Linked DNA regions of Cricetulus griseus. The protein of the gene in region 4 binds, or shares a complex with, the protein of the main gene of each other region. Links are inferred from orthologs where the notes say so. Each region holds a gene or a part of one and is shown on either strand. Other genes may lie near its edges.

Region 1 (4,153 bases), on a different chromosome or scaffold from region 4:
AATTGGGCTGTTAAGATGGCTTAAAGGTAAGGACGATTACCATGGCACTTGACAACTTGGGCTTGATGGCTCTGGACCTATGTGGTGGTGTTGTGCCCAAATTCTGAAGCCCCAAATCACCAAGAGACCCATTCCAATGCAAAAGCAAAGAGTCTTTTATTGTTTAACAAGTTAATTGTCTTAACTCTGGCCCTTTGTGGGTTCATCACATCAGGTGGAGTAAGAAGGACCCAGAGAAACCAAGTTGGGGGGAAGTGTGCAAGGGGAATGTCTAGAACTAAGCAATGGGCTTCCAGGCTTGGGTAACCTGTCCTGTGTTGGTCAACTGGTTGTTATGGCCTATAGGCCCTCCCAGGGTGGTTGCTATGCTCTGCATGGCACTGTTATACCTCTTTTACTATAAAGCACCACAAAGCCTAGAGCCCTCCAGCTAACTTCTGATTGGTTCCTTGCCACGTGGAGGGTATCTGACCTCCTAGTGACTAGGGCAGTTCCAGCATGGTCAGAAGGCCGGAATCTAAGCAACATGTGCTGAGTCAGAGGCTACATCTTGCAGGTTCTTTTCTGCAGCCTGTCATGCAGCTCAAAGCAGGGGGCTGGGTGAGGGTCAGATCCCTTCAGTGGAAGAACAGAATCAGCTCCCACAGGTTGTCCTTTGACTTCTACATGGGCCCATGGCACATACTTTTACGAATAAATCTAAAAAAGTATACCCAATGAGAGGTGTAAAAAAGACAGGGGGAAAAAATCACTATTAGCTGAAGATGTGAAAATAGAAATTGGGGGAAAAGACTTCATCGTTAAAGACAACAGATAAAGAAAATGTGGCTAAATTTTAATAAACGTTAAATCCTGGTGATAGCTATATTGATGTTCATTAGACTGTGTTTTCTTTTTTTTGGGGGGGGAGGTGTTGAGACATGGTTTCTCTGTGGCTTTGGAGGCTGTCCTGGAACTAGCTCTGTAGACCAGGCTGGCCTGGAACTCACAGAGATCCGCCTGCCTCTGCCTCCCGAGTGCTGGGGCTCCGAGTGATTTTAACATGCAACACTGACAGGCTCCTTTGGGAAAGATTCCCCCTTCTTCACACAAGAACTATCTGAGCTCGGACGTGGGCCCTCCTTAGTGCGTTCAGGAAGCCAAGCCCCTTCCACACCCCAAACACTCAAAACATCTCCCGGACAGCCCAAGGAACAGAAAGCTAACGGGGCTGCCGGCGCTCCGCCCCTCACTCAGGCCTCTGTGGCACTTTGGAGGACGCTCTAGCAAACTGAAGTCGTTTTCGCTTCGGCCAGGCGGTGGCCCCATCTCTATGGTAGCGGATTTCCCAGCGCCGCCGGGTAGGCGTTTTCTTCCGGATCAAAGAAGAGGTTGGACTTCCATCCCGGATGTGACCCACGTGCTTCTTATTTCTTCCAGCTGGGTACCCGGCAACTTTTTACTATTGACCCGAAGTTGCGGACCTCGAGGGATCTGTGACCTGCCCCAGGCCGTGGTGAGTGAGTCACGGTGTCTGACCCCGAGTGACCCCGATGATGGCATCGACATGACGGGCGCAGCCTTTGGGCCGGCTCCGGGAGCTTCGGTTGTGGTGAGGGTCGGGTTCTCAGGGCCGCGCGGGCCAGGCCCACGGTTTCGAGTGTTGTGTCCCTGGCGTCGATCCTCTGGCTGGGAGCGACGTGGAGGAACCGAGCGGTCCAGTCTCCGGGCCCGTGCCCGTGACATCCTGAGTGACCTTGAGCTGGGCACTGTCCCCTGTAAAGGCCTTATTTCCACTTCTGTTACGAGGGCTGATTACGTTTACTGAGGGCGGTGGTCCCTGCTGGTCAGAAACGCTGTCCTCCAGCCCCGGGACGTTAGGGTGAAGAGGGAGGGGTCGGTGCTGACGATCTTGTCTGCTCCTAGGAAAGACCAGGAGGCTGCTCTGCACGGTGCTAGGTTGACATGGATCCGCTTAGAGCCCAGCAGCTGGCTGCGGAGCTGGAGGTGGAGATGATGGCTGACATGTACAACAGGTAATGAGAACCACTCCACGATACCGAGTGTTGGAAGATTAGCCCGAGTCACCCTTACCATGACGGAGTCAAGGACTTGTAAGGAATGCTTTCCTTTAGGGAGTGGAGCCAAGTCCCAGCCCTCACCCTCTGCCCCACGCTCACCATGTGCTAGGCTAAACCAAATACAAGTCACTAGAAGGACTTGGCTATTTAGGGGGAGTAAGAGGGGCATGAAGGAGAATCTCCTGTTAGTATCTGGTGAGTTTCAAGAACAGGTAGTATTAATTTAAAAAACAAAAACAAAAACAAGCCGGGCATTGGTGGCGCACGCCATTAATCTCAGCACTCGGGAGGCAGAAGCAGGCGGATCTCTGAGTTCGAGACCGCCCTGGTCTACAAGAGCTAGTTCCAGGACATCCTCCAAAGCCACAGAGAAACCATGTCTTGAAAAAACCAAAAAAAAAAAAAAAAAAAAACCCAAAAAACAAAAAAAAACCCCCAAAACAGCCCATTTAATTACTTTTGTTTATGTATTTTGTGGTTGTTTATGAGTGCCACCCTGTCTGTCACAGCAGCACACTAGTGTAGGTCGGAGAACAACTTAATAGGAGCCCATCTTTCCTTCCAATGTATGGGTCTCAGGAACTGGACTCTTTTTTGTTTGTTTTTGTTTTTTTGAGACAGGGTTTCTCAGTATTTTTTTAGAGCCTGTCCTGGAACTCGATTGATAGACCAGGCTGGTCTCGAATTCGCAGACATCTGCCTGCCTCTGTCTCCCGAGTGCTGGGATTAAAGGCATGCGCCACCATTGCCGGCCGAAATGGACTCTAAAGATCTGGCTTGGCAACCTCTAATATTCTTTAAGCTTTTGTCTTTTGTTTGTTTGATTTATTTTATTTATTTTATTTTTTTGAGACAGGGTCTCATGATGTAATCCTGGCTAGCCTGGAACCTGCTATGTATACCAGGCTGGCCTTGAATTCACAAAGATCATCAGCCTCTCCCACTTGGGTCCTGAGGATTAAAGTTGTGCACATCTGGCCTTCATTAAACTTTGTGTTAGGCACTAGCAAAACATTTTACATATATTACCATTTTTAAATTGTTTTTTTCAAGTTTCTTTGTTTTTAGTTTATATGTGTGGATATTTTGCTTGCATGTATGTATGTATGTATGTATGTATGTATGTATACCACATGCCTGAAGAGGCCAAAGAGGGCATCAGATCCATTGGAACTGGAGTAACAGACAATTTTTGAGTTACCATGTGGGTTCTGGGAACCAAACCCAGGTCTTCTGCAAGACCAGTAAGTTCTCTTAACCAGGAAGCCATCTGTCTAGTACCCCCATTGTCACATTTTATTTTTATTTTTTTAATGTGTTTTTTTTAAAGATTTATTTATTTATTATGTATACAACATTCTGCTTCCATGTATATCTGCACACCAGAAGAGGGCACCAGATCTCATAAGGGATGATTGTGAGCCACCATGTAGTTGCTGGGAATTGAACTCAGGACCTCTGGAAGAGCAGTCGGTACTCTTAACCTCTGAGCCATCTCTCCAGCCCCACATATTATTTTTTAATATTAAAAATACTCACTGGGAGAAGAGGACCTAACTTTTGGCAGGGTGCTTTGCTAGAATGCAAGAAGCCCTTGCCTTGATACTGATGTGGTGCTTGTACTTTCAGCACTCAGAGATGAAGGACAGAGGATCAATAGTTCAAGGTCATCCTTGGCCACATAGTGAGTTTGAGGCCAGCCTGGGATAGATGGCATGAGTCTGAAAAAAAAAAAAGGAAATAAATTAAAATCAGTGGGTTAATTTTATTAGTGCCATTTTAACATCAGGGAATTGAGGTATCAAAGGATTTAGTAATGTCAGCATTCATAACTGGTCAGTAGCAATGTCAGAACCAATTCTTCAGACTGATCTCACAACTATTGATTGTAGCTGTTTGGCCAGTTTGGAAACAAATCCTGGTGCACCAGTCACCTGCTGAATATCTTTGGACAAACTGTCTCATAATTGATTGTATCATCAATAAAACTGACATAATAAACACTACTTCATGAAGACATTACTAATATTGAACATGGAAGCCTTTAGCATCAAGCATATCATTCAGGAAACAGTGAGACACCTGCTGGTTTT
Region 2 (4,083 bases), on a different chromosome or scaffold from region 4:
AAAGCAAGAGACACTTACAGATTCTACTAAACACTCAGTACACGAAAACATTGCGCCCACAATGGCAAAATTTTTGGCGTAGGACATTCCTCTTTGTCCCATGTCTTTCAGAACTTCTTTTGCAGTTGGTGTCCGGTAAGGGTCCTTAGGGTCAAAGCCTACATTGGTATCAATGCCGGCAGTAAAGATCCCAAACGCACCTCCCAAGACAAATCCTAGAAGCAAGCAGAGATAAGAGTTCTTTTGCACATTCTGGACTACCATTTTGGGATGATATTTTAAGATGGCTCAATCCTGCTTCCTCCAGTCAGAGTCTATCCCCCTGACTCTCCTAGGATTTCTTCCTTTCATTTCCCAGCCTTTGAGCTTTAACCCTCTGTTCTCTATAGACCAGTCACCCTCAAGTTCTTATCAACTTTGTGTATCATTCCCTTAACCATGCCAATATCTATAACAGTCTCTTGGTAGGCATTACCACATATTCTGAAATACTCTAGATTTCACAATAACTTGTGGCTGTTTTGTTTGTTTGACAGGACCTCACTATGGAGTCCTAACTGGCCTGGAACTTGCTATTGTAGAACAGGCTAGCTCAAACTCAAGAGATCCACCTGCCTCTACCTCCCAAGTTCTTGGATTAACAGCGTGTGTCACTACCACCCAGCTGTCCTCTCTAAACCAAAGCTAGAGAGGCTAAGTAACTGTGTCCAAAGTCGCATGGCTGTTATGTGGGAAATCCTAGGTTGCTGTCAACAAATGTCTTGTCTAAACCTTGAACATTTCTTTGTGTGGGTGTGGGTGTAGGCCAGAGTTCAATCCTGGGGTGTCACTACTCAGGAACCATCCACCTTTCTTTCTTTCTTTCTTTCTTTCTTTCTTTCTTTCTTTCTTTCTTTCTTTCTTTCGTTGTTTTCAAGACAGGGTTTCTCAGTGTAATAGCCCTAGCAGTCCCAGAACTTACTCTGTAGACCAGGCTGGCCTCAAACTCAGAGAGATCTACCTGCCTGTCTTTGGAGTGCTGGGGTTAAAATCAGGTGCCACTACCCCTGGCCACTTTTTTCTTTTTTAAAGAGGGTCTCTCAATGGACCTAGAGCTAACTGATTAGGCTAGGCTGGCTAGTAACTGAGCCCCAAGGATCTGTCTGCCTGTCTTCCCAGTAATGGGATTACAAGTCATTTTCAGGCCTGACATTTATCTATTTATCTATCTATCTGTCTGTCTGTCTGTCTATCTTTCTGAGACACAGCCTATATAGTCTGTCTGTGTAGGTGTCCTGGAGCTTGCTATGTAGACCAGGCTGGCCTCAAACTCAGATCCATCTGCCTCTCTAGTGCTGGGATTAGAGGCCTGGGCCACCTCACCCAGCCATACCTGGCTTTTTACAGGATGCTGGGTATTGAACTCAGATCCTCAAGCTTGCATGACAAGCACTTTATCAACTGCACTTTGTCCCCAGCCATTTCTGTATGGATGTCTTCTCATCACCTCAAGATGAATGTAATTTCAAAAAATAAAAAAAAATCAATGTAATTAATTTCAATGAAACTAGACTCTATCTCCCCTCTCCAAAATGTCTTGCTTTCCAATCACTCCAGCTCCAAAACTCTCTCTTCTTTGTAGTACATTTAAGGTTTGCTTTTTGTTTGGTCAGTTTTTTGTTTTGTTTTTGAAGACAGTGTCTCTATTATGTAACCCTGGCTGTCCTGGAATTCACTATATAGACCAGGTTGGCCTGGAACTCAGATCTGACTGCCTCTTCATCCTCAATTTTTAAGACTTGAACTCCTGCTATTTGGATTTCACAAATGTTTTTCATTCCCAATAAAATTTAAACTCATCCACAAATACAGTCAACCTTTTTACCTGCACACTGGAAGTGTGTGTATTTGTTTGTTTTTATGTTCTATCCTACCCCACCCCGACAGTCTAATTACAGTGGCCTTTTTTTTTTTTTTTTTTTTTTTTCCCCTTAGATAGGGTCTCTCTATGTAGAACTGGCTGTACTGGAACTCACTCTGTAGACCAGACTGGCCTCGAACTCACAGGGATCCATCTGCCTCTGCCTCCCGAGTGCTGGAATTAACTTCAAATTTCTCTGACTTGAGGACCTTTGCATTTGCAATTCCCTATGTGTCTACAGCACTCTTCTGCCCGGGTCCTAGAAATTCTCTATCAGGGCTCTTGTCACTTTCATCCATAGTCCCACTGCCTAACACACGACAGTTGCTTAGTTTGTGAATGAATGAATGAATGAATGAATGAATGAATGAATGAATGAATGAACGAAAGCATCCACTTAACAATCTGCAGGCCCTGACCGTAGTTTAACTGATTCTCGAACGTTCCAGCTCCCAACTGTGAATGTTAACCCCAGGATCAAGAGCGGCATCTTCGGGTTCATTGAGCCAGTCGGGGAGCAATCAAGGTCGAGACCCACAGGTCCTTCGCCTCCCAGGCGCGTGGTCTTGGCAAGGAACCCCAAGGCCCTCCAAGCCCTCAGCCTCCCAAGGGTCCCACGAGCCTCGCCTCACCTCCCACGCAGGCTAGCACAGCCTTGAAGGCGCAACTTTCCATCGCCCTCTCGATCATCTTCTGCTCCTCGCTCTTGGAGGGACTCGGGATCCCGCCCAGGCTGCCAGGCTCCAGGAGCCGGGGCTGACGCTTGTCGCCCACCAGGTACTGCAGAAGAAGGCTGTATTGCAGCGGAGCTTCGGCGGAAGTCGCCGACTCCGCAGCTGAAGCCCCGGCACTGGGGGCAGTAGCCGCCATGACCGTAAGGGACCCAGAACCTTAAGCGTCGTACTTGCCACAGCCGATTCCACATGCTTCCCTAGGTGTCTAGCCATAGTGCCGCAGCGGCAGATTCGCCACAATGAGGAAGCGGCGGAAGCAAAAGTCGGCCTGTGCATCAGCGTCAAGGCAGCTATAATGTTCCCCCCAAAGCCTCCTGTAAACACCGAGTCAAGTTTGTAAGGCATTGCTAAAAGCACTGACAAACAAGATTCGGGGTCTCCAGAACACCCCCCTCAACGAGGTAGCTCCAGTGCGGCGCGTGCCGGGATTTGTAGTTCTAACTCAAACATCTAACTACATTTCCCAGAAAGCTATGCGCGAACTAACCCTACGGCTTCCTCAGAAGCTCTTCTGAGAAGCGAACCAAGGCAGGCCCGGCTCTGGCTAGGCTGCAGTTTGTGACGTATCCAGCAGAAGGCGTGCGTGTCCGCTTTGTTGCCCCGCCAAGTGACAGTGATCATGCTGCCTCAGTCAGCTAGGACTACAGGCTGGTTGGTATTCTAAGATCAAATAATGGTAATAAGCAAATGTTGAAACATGGCGTGAAGATGTTCAATAGACATTTTATTATATAGTTAAACCTTTGAGGAGAAAGAAGGGCCAATAAATGAGCTGGGTGGTGGTGGCTCATGTAATTTCAGCAGAGGCAGGTAGATCTCTGAGTTCGAGGCCAGCCTGGTCTGCAGCGTGAGTTCCAGGACACCCAGAGCTACACAGAGAAACTCCGTCTTGAAAAAACAAAATATATAAATATATAAATAAATATTGGGAATTGTGGTAGTTGTGATTCTGAGTCAGACCAGGCTGGCAATTTATTTGTCTCTCTTAGCTAAGCGAAACACTCATGAAAAGAAAAATCATTACAGATGCACGTTTGGTGTCTAAAATCCTCTTTGTTCTTGTTTCTGCCCTCACCAGGCCACCAAGCACGCTAAGTTTCCAGTGGTTGGTTGGTTGGTTTGGTTTGGTTTGGTTTTTCAAGTCAGGGTTTCTCTGAGAAACAGTCCTGGCTGTCCCGAAACTCCTTTTGTAGACCAAACTGGCCTTGAACTCACAGATTCCCCACCACCACATGGCTCTCCAGTGGTTTCTTAGCTGTCAATCATTTTTTCTAAACTTCTCAGCTGCATGTGACACAGGGACCCCTCTCTCCTTTGATTTTTTTTTTTAAATTATTTATTTATTATGTATACAGTCTTCTGCCTGCATGCCAGCAGAGGGCACCAGATCTCATTCAAGGTGGTTGTGAGCCACCATGTGGTTGCCGGGAATTCAACTCAGGACCTCTG
Region 3 (4,236 bases), on a different chromosome or scaffold from region 4:
TGTGGGGATGAGTCCATCACCAGAGCCCCCATAGCCACCAGACACAATGCTAGTTTCATTGAGGTTGGGTCCTGACACCATCACCTGCTGGAGGTCCTATAGATCAGAGAAGAGGGGGCACTTCAGGAACATGGGGGTGGCTGAAATATTTTGGGGATAGAGACAGTATATAGTAAAGTCTGTATAGAATCATAATGACGACTTGAAAACTATAAGGAGGACTAACTAAATGAAGTCTATTGGGATGGGAAAAGCGAAACATTCAAGAGTCAGGATTGCTAAATTGAAACAATTAGAAGAATCAAACAGAAGCACCTGCTCCAGCCCATCGTCTTCAGGAAGCTGCCCAGCTTCACCATTTCCATGGATTGGGATCTCCATTGTGGCTGCCTTCCCTAGGATCCCGTCCGTCATGGCTAGGGAAGGTACTGGAGTCAAGGTCTCCACCCCAGCACGCTGTAAAGCCCAACACAGACAATTCTGGAAACTGGCCAGCACTCCAGAACAAGGAGGCCTTCCCTGTGTTCTAATAGGTTTCAGGGGTTGTCTGTTAGGACTTGGGTGTCCCTGGAGATCAGCCCCTACTTTCCTGGAGATGTGTATTTCTTCTCTTCCAAGTACATTATTTCTACAGATGCATGTATACCAAAGCCTTGGGTGTCTTCTCACAAACCCCAACCTCACCTTTAGTAACCTTTACACATTCAGTCACTCAACAAACACTTAGTGAGTGCCTACTATGCGTCAGATACTGAGGCAATGGGATTACAGCAGTGAGGGCCAGAGGGGAATGTCTGTGCTCTTTGGGAACTTGGCCCTGCATAGGCATGTTTACCAGAAGGCAAAACCCTTTCCTAGACTCGGATGCTCACTTGCCACTCAAGCATGCTCTGCAATCCCTGGTCTTTCAAATCCTTTGATGTTCCTTCCCCTCTTCCTTCAAATGGTCTCTCCTTTCTCCATCTCATGCACCTGCCTCCCTCAGGCCCTCCCCACCAGGCCTTAGTTGAAGCAGCTGGTGTGTTCCCGGTGTCAGTTAAAAGCTTCTTTCCCAGGACACAGGCAGTCCCTTCCAAAGTCAGTTTATGCCTTCCAGATGTGAGAGGTCCCCTCCACCACCCCCCCACACACCTGGGCATCAGGTGTGTCCTCATCCTTGCCAAGGGCTCAGGGCATCTTGCCCTCCGCACAGGTTCGTGCATTCAACTTCCTTTCGTACAAGTATGTCCTTCTCACCTGGGCCGGGCCACTCTTCCCCTCAGGGCGCGAGGGCCGGACCGCGCGGGGACCTCGGGTTCCAGTTCCCGTCGCGATCTTAGCAGCAGGTCAGAGATTCGGCGGAAGTGACGTGCCCTCTGGGCAGAAGAAGCCGGCCACGTCGCAGAGCAAAAGGGCGGAGGTGACGTTAGCAGACATGGGCTGGGCGATACTGGAACCACGCCTTGAAGCTCTTGGTGACTAGGGAGAATTTACTTCCGGGGTGACTCCGCGCCCCCAGGGAGGAAGTAAAGTGGGCTGCGTGCCCCGAGCGTGATGGAGCAGCAGCAGCAGCAACTAAGAAACGTGAGTAAGAGCTAAGTTGTTCTCGGGGTTAGACGTGCGGTTTGTTTTCTGGGGTACATGCAAGAACCCCCAGTGGGGAAGGCAGGCTGCACTGCGCACGCCAGGAACCCTCAGCGGTGGTGAAGCCTTGATCCGCTTTTCTCTTAGTTGCGAGATTTCCTGTTGGTCTACAATCGGATGACAGAACTGTGCTTCCAGCGCTGTGTGCCCAGCCTGCACCACCGAGCTCTGGACGCTGAGGAGGTGGGGACTGTGGGGACCCCAGAGGTTGACAACGTGACGTGTCCACCTCCCACCCCCCGTTTGCATCTCGGTCTCCCATGACCTCACCCCTAGGCTGGGGCCCCGGAGAGGAGGGCTTGACAGGACCCCTTTTGGTCTCTGCTTACCTCTGTCTTCCTTCCAGGAGGCCTGTCTACACAGCTGTGCTGGGAAGCTCATCCATTCTAACCACCGCCTCATGGCCGCTTACGTCCACCTCATGCCCGCCCTTGTCCAGCGCCGCATCGCGGACTACGAGGCTGCCTCGGCCGTGCCAGGTGTTACTGCAGAACAACCCAGAGACTCGCCATCAGGCAGCTAGCCATCGCCTGCCCCAGGAGAGAAGGTGCTTGGATGGGCTCCTCTATGAACCTTGGGCTTGTCGAAATTTGTACAGAAAGATTGAGCCTGAAAGCTGGGCACTATTGCTCCTTTTCTTGGAGCCAATAAACCGGGTTTTTACTCTGGTTGATTTTCTGGGCAGGAATTTATTTATGTCCACTTATTGGTACCAACCTTTATTCTGCCATTTAGTGCCTATCTTCTCCCCTCAGCCCTGGCAGTTGAGAAATTGCCTTCTGTAATGTAGTAGGACAAACTCAGCATTCTCAGATCCCCAGCAAAAACATAGTTTTAAGGTTAGTAATAGCAATGGGAAATTGGTTCCAAAAGGGGAGCTCTCAGTGGCTATCCTTGAGCCTAACTCAAATGCCTGAATATATATTGCATAATAACTAGTTTTCTTCTGAGCTGTAATACAAAAAGAATTGTGCTGCATCTAGGGGAAGAATGTGATATCAGACAACAAGAGGAAGAAGAAAACAGCACCACAATAGGCTTTAGCCACCAATTCTTAGGAGATCAAAGATAAGCCTGTAAGAATGTGGGAATATTGTCTAGAATTTCAATCATTTCCCCAGTTTACCATCTTAAATATTTCCTGTCTTTGTGAAATCAGCAATAAGGACTTTAAACAAAGAAGGGTTTTCTTCTTGTCTTCAAGGCAAGTCAGAAGGCCTACATTAGTCAAATCTAAAGAAGAGAAATCAAAGGGAAAGGTAGATGGTGATAGAGGGGTGGTTAAATATAATCTGTGTGGCTCCTAATGCTTCCTTAGTGTTTCACTGTTTGTCTGGAATCTCCTAATTCCAGCTCTCTACCTTCCATCTTACATTGTTCTCAACCGTAACTGATCCAGCCTCTCTATTCTTGTTTTGTTACTGCCCCCTCATTTTGTGGGGTTCACATCTGTATTCAGGAGGATACCTCCTTTCCTGGCCCTGCCTTTTCCGTGATGTCATCTCCAGTATGAGGACAAGGAAGGAAGGAGGAAATGGCATATACTACCATGTGGGGCTTCAAGGATAATGGCAGGATGCAGGGCAAGCAACAGTATGGGATGTGCATTTGTTATTGTTGTTTTACTGGGGGTTCAACTCAAGGGCTTGTGCATGCCAGGCAGGGACTCTTAACAACCTAAGCTACCCATTACCTCTTCATTGCTTAATCCCATCCCATCCTTTCACGTATGGCAACAGCTTTCCTTTTTTACCAAGGAATTAAATTTTAAAATCCCAGCCAAAATCAACTATTTACAAAGCAGATCCCCCCCCCACACACACACCTACAGGTCATAAATATGCATTTTACTTTTTTATTTTTGAGATTGGGGAGGGAGGTCTCAAAACTGACATGTAAATCATAATAACTAAAGATGACCCTGAACTCCTGATCCTCCTGCCTCTACTGCCCAAGAGCTGGCCAGCCAAAAAATTGAAATAGTGGGCTTCGTGTTAAAACACAGCTCTTGCTCTAAGCCTTGTTATGCATGCCTACAAGCCCAGCACTTCACAGATTGCGAATTTTGTGTTTGAAGGCAGCATATCAAGACCCTATTAATAAAGTGCAGTGGGGCGGTAAGCCCCATATTCTTTTTACTACAGCAGGCTGCCTCTCAAAATCATGTCTGTTGAGTATGTTGCATAAATTTATCTTATTTATTCATTTTATTGCAAGCCTAGGAGATATTATTTCCATTTAACAGGTAAAAAAGAACCCAGAATGCATGAGAGCTCTGTCTTATACACAGTTCTTTGAAAACAGATTCTAGTGTGTCACTGCTTTTCCCTTTTTGTTTTTTTATTTTAGGTGATTTTGCCATGGGGTCTATTGGCCTTAAACTTGAGATCCTCTTGTCTCAGCCTCCCAGGTACTGAGATTACAGACATGGGCTACAACGGTTGCTAGATAATTCTTTAGGAAGATAAAAATTGCTGACAAGGAGCTTCCCTATAGAGTGACCTCAGGTCTTCCTGACAGAATTCACTCTTTGACAAGTATAAATGTAAGGAATGCATCATGTGAGCTTCTTCATTTCCAGAGACAGGAAGGTGGAGACCCAGGATATTGTGT
Region 4 (3,589 bases):
TTCTCTAGATGAGCAGTCAGTACTTTTAACCTCTGAGCCATATTGTCAGCCCCTCTCTCAACTTCTTGCAGCCTCTCCTCCCAGCCACAGTAAGGACAGTCCATAAATTCTGGATGTTCTTCCTCCTACATCTCCAGGATGTGCCCTCTCAGTAGATGTGGTTTATTAGCAGAGGCTGCCCTGTGTTCCACATCTGTATCTGCTTATTCTACTCATCCCTCTCCTGCTCTAAAATCTTCCATAACTCCCCATCGCCTCGGGCCAAGACCCAAACTTCAGCTCATTAATGGAGCTTTCATCCAGGCCAAGTGGTGCCATTTGTGGCCCTACCTACCCAGGAGGCTGAGAGAAGACACTGGCTTTCAGACCCATACCCACCCACCCATCTACCTTGCCTTCCGGCCCTACCACACACACAGTCCATCCAAATACAGTGGCTGAGCCCCAAACAACCAATGTCCCAGGCCTCACCTGGGAGGTGTCCACATCAAAGAAGCTTTGATAGTAGTCAAACGTCCAGAATCTTGGCTGTGGCTTTTCTTCCTGTAGAAGCTACAAGACACAAACTTTCAGAAGCTGCCTCTCAGCCCAGCTATGGACAGGCATGGCATGCGGGGCCCAGGGGACTTACCGATGCTCTATCGCCCTCTTCCTCCACCACTTCGGCTCCATAGCCAATACCTGATCCCACGACCACAGTCACGTGCTCCCGTGAGGTCAGGGCATCACTTTGGCTAGTGGTGGCTGCATCTGGGGTCTCTGCCAGAAGATTTGTGGCTTCTTCGAACTCTACGGTCAGAGAAAATGGGCACAGGTGTTTGGATTCTGAAAATCTCTTGACCATCACCCCGGGCTGTGGTTGCCTCACTACACTCCCTAAGGACTGCGTTTCTTCAATTTTGACGCATAGAGAAGTCTGTTTCTCGACTAAGATGGGGTTCAGGTTAGGTTCTAGGCAGACTTGGAGGCTCTGATGTGCCTCTGAGTTTATAGTGGGAGCAGGGATTGACTGAGTACGGGATGAACCCCAGGTTCACGCTGGGATCTAGGTCCCAGCTGCCTGGAGTTTTATCCTAGGACAGGAGTAGGAGCTCTGACCACTTCCCGGCCCCACTCACCATGGAAGGCCAGTGCGTCAGCCGCTGCCATGATTCTTTTGAGGCGTCACCGCATTGCGCTGTGTGGACAGAACTGCATCAGTCCCTCAGCCCTCCCCAGGATTGATGCTTCCGCCTACAGTCCTGCCTGGAGCCTACCGAACACCTGGAGTGAGACCAGCCCTGGGCCAGGTGCACCCCGCCCTCCTCACCTAAGGCTACCTAAGCTGGCGTGGCCCATCCTCCGTGCGCGTGCGTGCGGCCAGCGTACCCGTCAGAGCCCACTCTTCATGCAACGGCAACATCCGGCGCCAGCCCGGCTTCCGGTTTTCAGTGAGAAACTACTTCCGGTACCTTGCGCGTGCGCAGGAGCCACTCCGCACCTTTGGTTCCGCCGCTATGCTTTTCCGCTGGCCAACGGACGGCGGGAAGAGGATGGCCACCGCCGCTCTCAAGAGGCTCGGGTCCGCTGGGCGCAGTGAAGCGCGAGGAGAGGCGAATGCTGCCGCGACGGTGGCGGCGAAGCCAGGGCTGTGGGCGCGACTGGGTGAGTAGTGGCGGCGGGGGTGGCGGCGGGGGTGGGGGGCGGCCCGCGTGCCCGGATCGCTGTCACCTCCGCGCTGGCGTCTTTCCTTCAGGCACTTGGACCCGCGCGCTGCTTCGCGATTACGCCGAGGCCTGCAGAGACGCGGCGGCGGCGGCTCGGGCCCGGCCAGGCCGCGCGGCAGTCTACGTGGGGCTGTTGGGCGGCGCCGCGGCGTGCTGCGCCCTGGCCCCTGGCGAGGCCACCTTCGAAGAGGCCTTGCTCGACGCGTCGGGGTCCCTCCTGCTGCTGGCGCCGGCCACGCGTAACCGTCACTCGGAAGCGTTCTTGCAGCGCCTGCTGTGGCTGAGAGGCCGCGGGCGGCTGCGCCACGTGAACCTGGGGCTCTGCTCGCTGGTGTACGAGGCGCCCTTCGATGCCCAGGCCAGCCTCTACCAGGCCCGCTGCCGCTACCTGCAGCCGCGTTGGATCGACTTCCCCGGTCGGGTCCTCGACGTGGGGTTCCTGGGCCGTTGGTGGATCCTGGAGAACCGCATGCAGGATTGCGACATTAACGACGACGAGTTTCTTCACCTGCCTGCGCACCTCCGTGTCGTCGGGCCCCACCAGCTGCATTCCGAGGCCAACGAGAGGCTGTTCGAGGAGAAGTACAAGCCGATTGTGCTCACTGATGACCAGGTGGACCAGGCGCTGTGGGAAGAGCAGGTCTTGCAAAAGGAAAAAAAGGATAGACTGGCGCTGAGCGAGGCCAATTCACTGGTGCAGGCCGAGGTTTCCAGATGAAACCCCAGGTCTCCAGGTTCAGGCAGACTGTTTGCCACGAGTGGATGCAACGGATGAGATGGCTGGTTGTAAACTCTGCTCGGTGTGGTTTTGTGGGAAGACCTTCTCGCTCCGTCTGTTTCATTAGCCGAAGCTAATTGAAAGCTTTCCTGATCTTGGAGATGGAGAACAGCTGAAGGACTGGTCTTGAACATGGAGAAGAGCTGAAGCATTTGTCCGTGTTATATTTATAACCACCAGAAGTACTAGTAAGGAGCCTGTATGGGGTAGCCTGTTGTCGACGGGGATGTACTTCAGTGGTAGAGCACTTGCCTAGCGTGCCTGGGTTCTTGGCTTCCAATCCCAGCACTGTAAAACAGAACAAAAAAGAACTTTTTGTTTGGGGGTTATTGTTTATTTGGTTGGGTTTTGAGACTAGGACTCCCAAAGAACCCAGACTGACCCTAAATCCTCCTGCCTCAGCTCCAGTCCACCACAGTGTACACAGTCCATGCATAATAGCCTACTGTGTAGCAAAGGGTGACTTGCCTGCACTTCCCAGATGGGGGGAGAAAGGGTTCTGCTGTACACTTTATTATTGTTGAGTACTAGACATCAAAGACGGGGTCTTGTACATACAGGGCAAGCACTGAACCCCCAAGGCTTTTTTTTTTTTTTTTTTTAATGTATGCACTTTTCTATCTGCATGTATGCCTGCAGGCCAGAATAAGGCATCAGGTCTCATTACAGATGTTTGTGACCCACCATGAGGTTGCTGAGAGTTGAACTCTGGAAGAACAGGAAGTGCTCTTAACCTCTGAGCCACTCTCCAACCCCATTTTTTAAATTATTTTTTCTAAATTTTTTTAAAAATGTATTTATTTATTATGTATACAATGTTCTGCCTGCATACCAGAAGAGGGCACCAGATTTCATTATAGATAGTCATGAGCCACCCTGTGTTTGCTGGGAATTGAACTCAGGTCCCCTGGAAGAGTAGTCAGTGCTCTTAACCTCTGAGTCATCTCTCCAGCCCCTTCTCCGGTCTTCTTGGGATTTTTTTGTTTTGTTTAATAGTTTCTATTTAGTCCTTGAGGCCCTTGGACCTAGCTTCTCTTAACTGGTAACATTGTGTAATACCATCAGTGCAGGAGATAGATATGGAAGTGAACAGATGTCAGTGTTA

Evidence for each region.
Region 1: the proteins of Timm29 (region 4) and Timm10 are in contact, whole or in part, in a cryo-EM structure (PDB 7CGP), measured with the Homo sapiens proteins. The link is inferred for Cricetulus griseus from reciprocal best matches to the Homo sapiens genes TIMM29 and TIMM10. Residues at the interface, in NP_612367.1 of Homo sapiens: Asp181, Asp183, Ile184, Asp186, Phe189, Leu192, Leu196, Arg197, Val199, Gln203, Leu204, Ser206, Asn209, Glu210, Leu212, Phe213, Asp214; in NP_036588.1 of Homo sapiens: His30, Arg31, Lys32, Cys33, Pro35, Pro36, Leu43, Ser44, Lys45, Gly46, Glu47, Ser48, Val49, Arg53.
Region 2: Timm29 (region 4) and Timm22 share a complex: the UniProt entries of both Homo sapiens proteins name them as parts of the TIM22 complex. The link is inferred for Cricetulus griseus from reciprocal best matches to the Homo sapiens genes TIMM29 and TIMM22.
Region 3: Timm29 (region 4) and Timm10b share a complex: the UniProt entries of both Homo sapiens proteins name them as parts of the TIM22 complex. The link is inferred for Cricetulus griseus from reciprocal best matches to the Homo sapiens genes TIMM29 and TIMM10B.

The regions. Positions count from the first base shown.
Region 1 is NC_048599.1:90,702,783-90,706,935, reverse strand, and holds the start of Timm10 (mitochondrial import inner membrane translocase subunit Tim10), read left to right. Parts: upstream 1-1,344; 5' UTR 1,345-1,495; exon of another isoform or gene 1,496-1,591; intron 1,592-1,643; exon of another isoform or gene 1,644-1,757; intron 1,758-1,905; 5' UTR 1,906-1,944; coding exon 1,945-2,015; intron 2,016-4,153.
Region 2 is NC_048600.1:89,855,330-89,859,412, reverse strand, and holds the start of Timm22 (mitochondrial import inner membrane translocase subunit Tim22), read right to left. Parts: upstream 2,810-4,083; 5' UTR 2,771-2,809; coding exon 2,533-2,770; intron 216-2,532; coding exon 19-215; intron 1-18. UniProt on the Homo sapiens protein: Essential core component of the TIM22 complex, a complex that mediates the import and insertion of multi-pass transmembrane proteins into the mitochondrial inner membrane. In the TIM22 complex, it constitutes the voltage-activated and signal-gated channel.
Region 3 is NC_048596.1:94,061,750-94,065,985, reverse strand, and holds the start of Timm10b (mitochondrial import inner membrane translocase subunit Tim10 B), read left to right. Parts: upstream 1-1,427; 5' UTR 1,428-1,533; coding exon 1,534-1,563; intron 1,564-1,710; coding exon 1,711-1,806; intron 1,807-1,969; coding exon 1,970-2,146; 3' UTR 2,147-2,170; intron 2,171-3,972; exon of another isoform or gene 3,973-4,204; 3' UTR 4,205-4,236. Other genes in the region: Arfip2 (arfaptin-2), read right to left, coding at 1-96, 316-414. UniProt on the Homo sapiens protein: Component of the TIM22 complex, a complex that mediates the import and insertion of multi-pass transmembrane proteins into the mitochondrial inner membrane.
Region 4 is NC_048597.1:134,470,670-134,474,258, forward strand, and holds Timm29 (mitochondrial import inner membrane translocase subunit Tim29), read left to right. Parts: upstream 1-1,358; 5' UTR 1,359-1,496; coding exon 1,497-1,644; intron 1,645-1,735; coding exon 1,736-2,424; 3' UTR 2,425-3,085; downstream 3,086-3,589. Other genes in the region: protein YIPF2, read right to left, coding at 472-552, 632-789, 1,119-1,149. UniProt on the Homo sapiens protein: Component of the TIM22 complex, a complex that mediates the import and insertion of multi-pass transmembrane proteins into the mitochondrial inner membrane.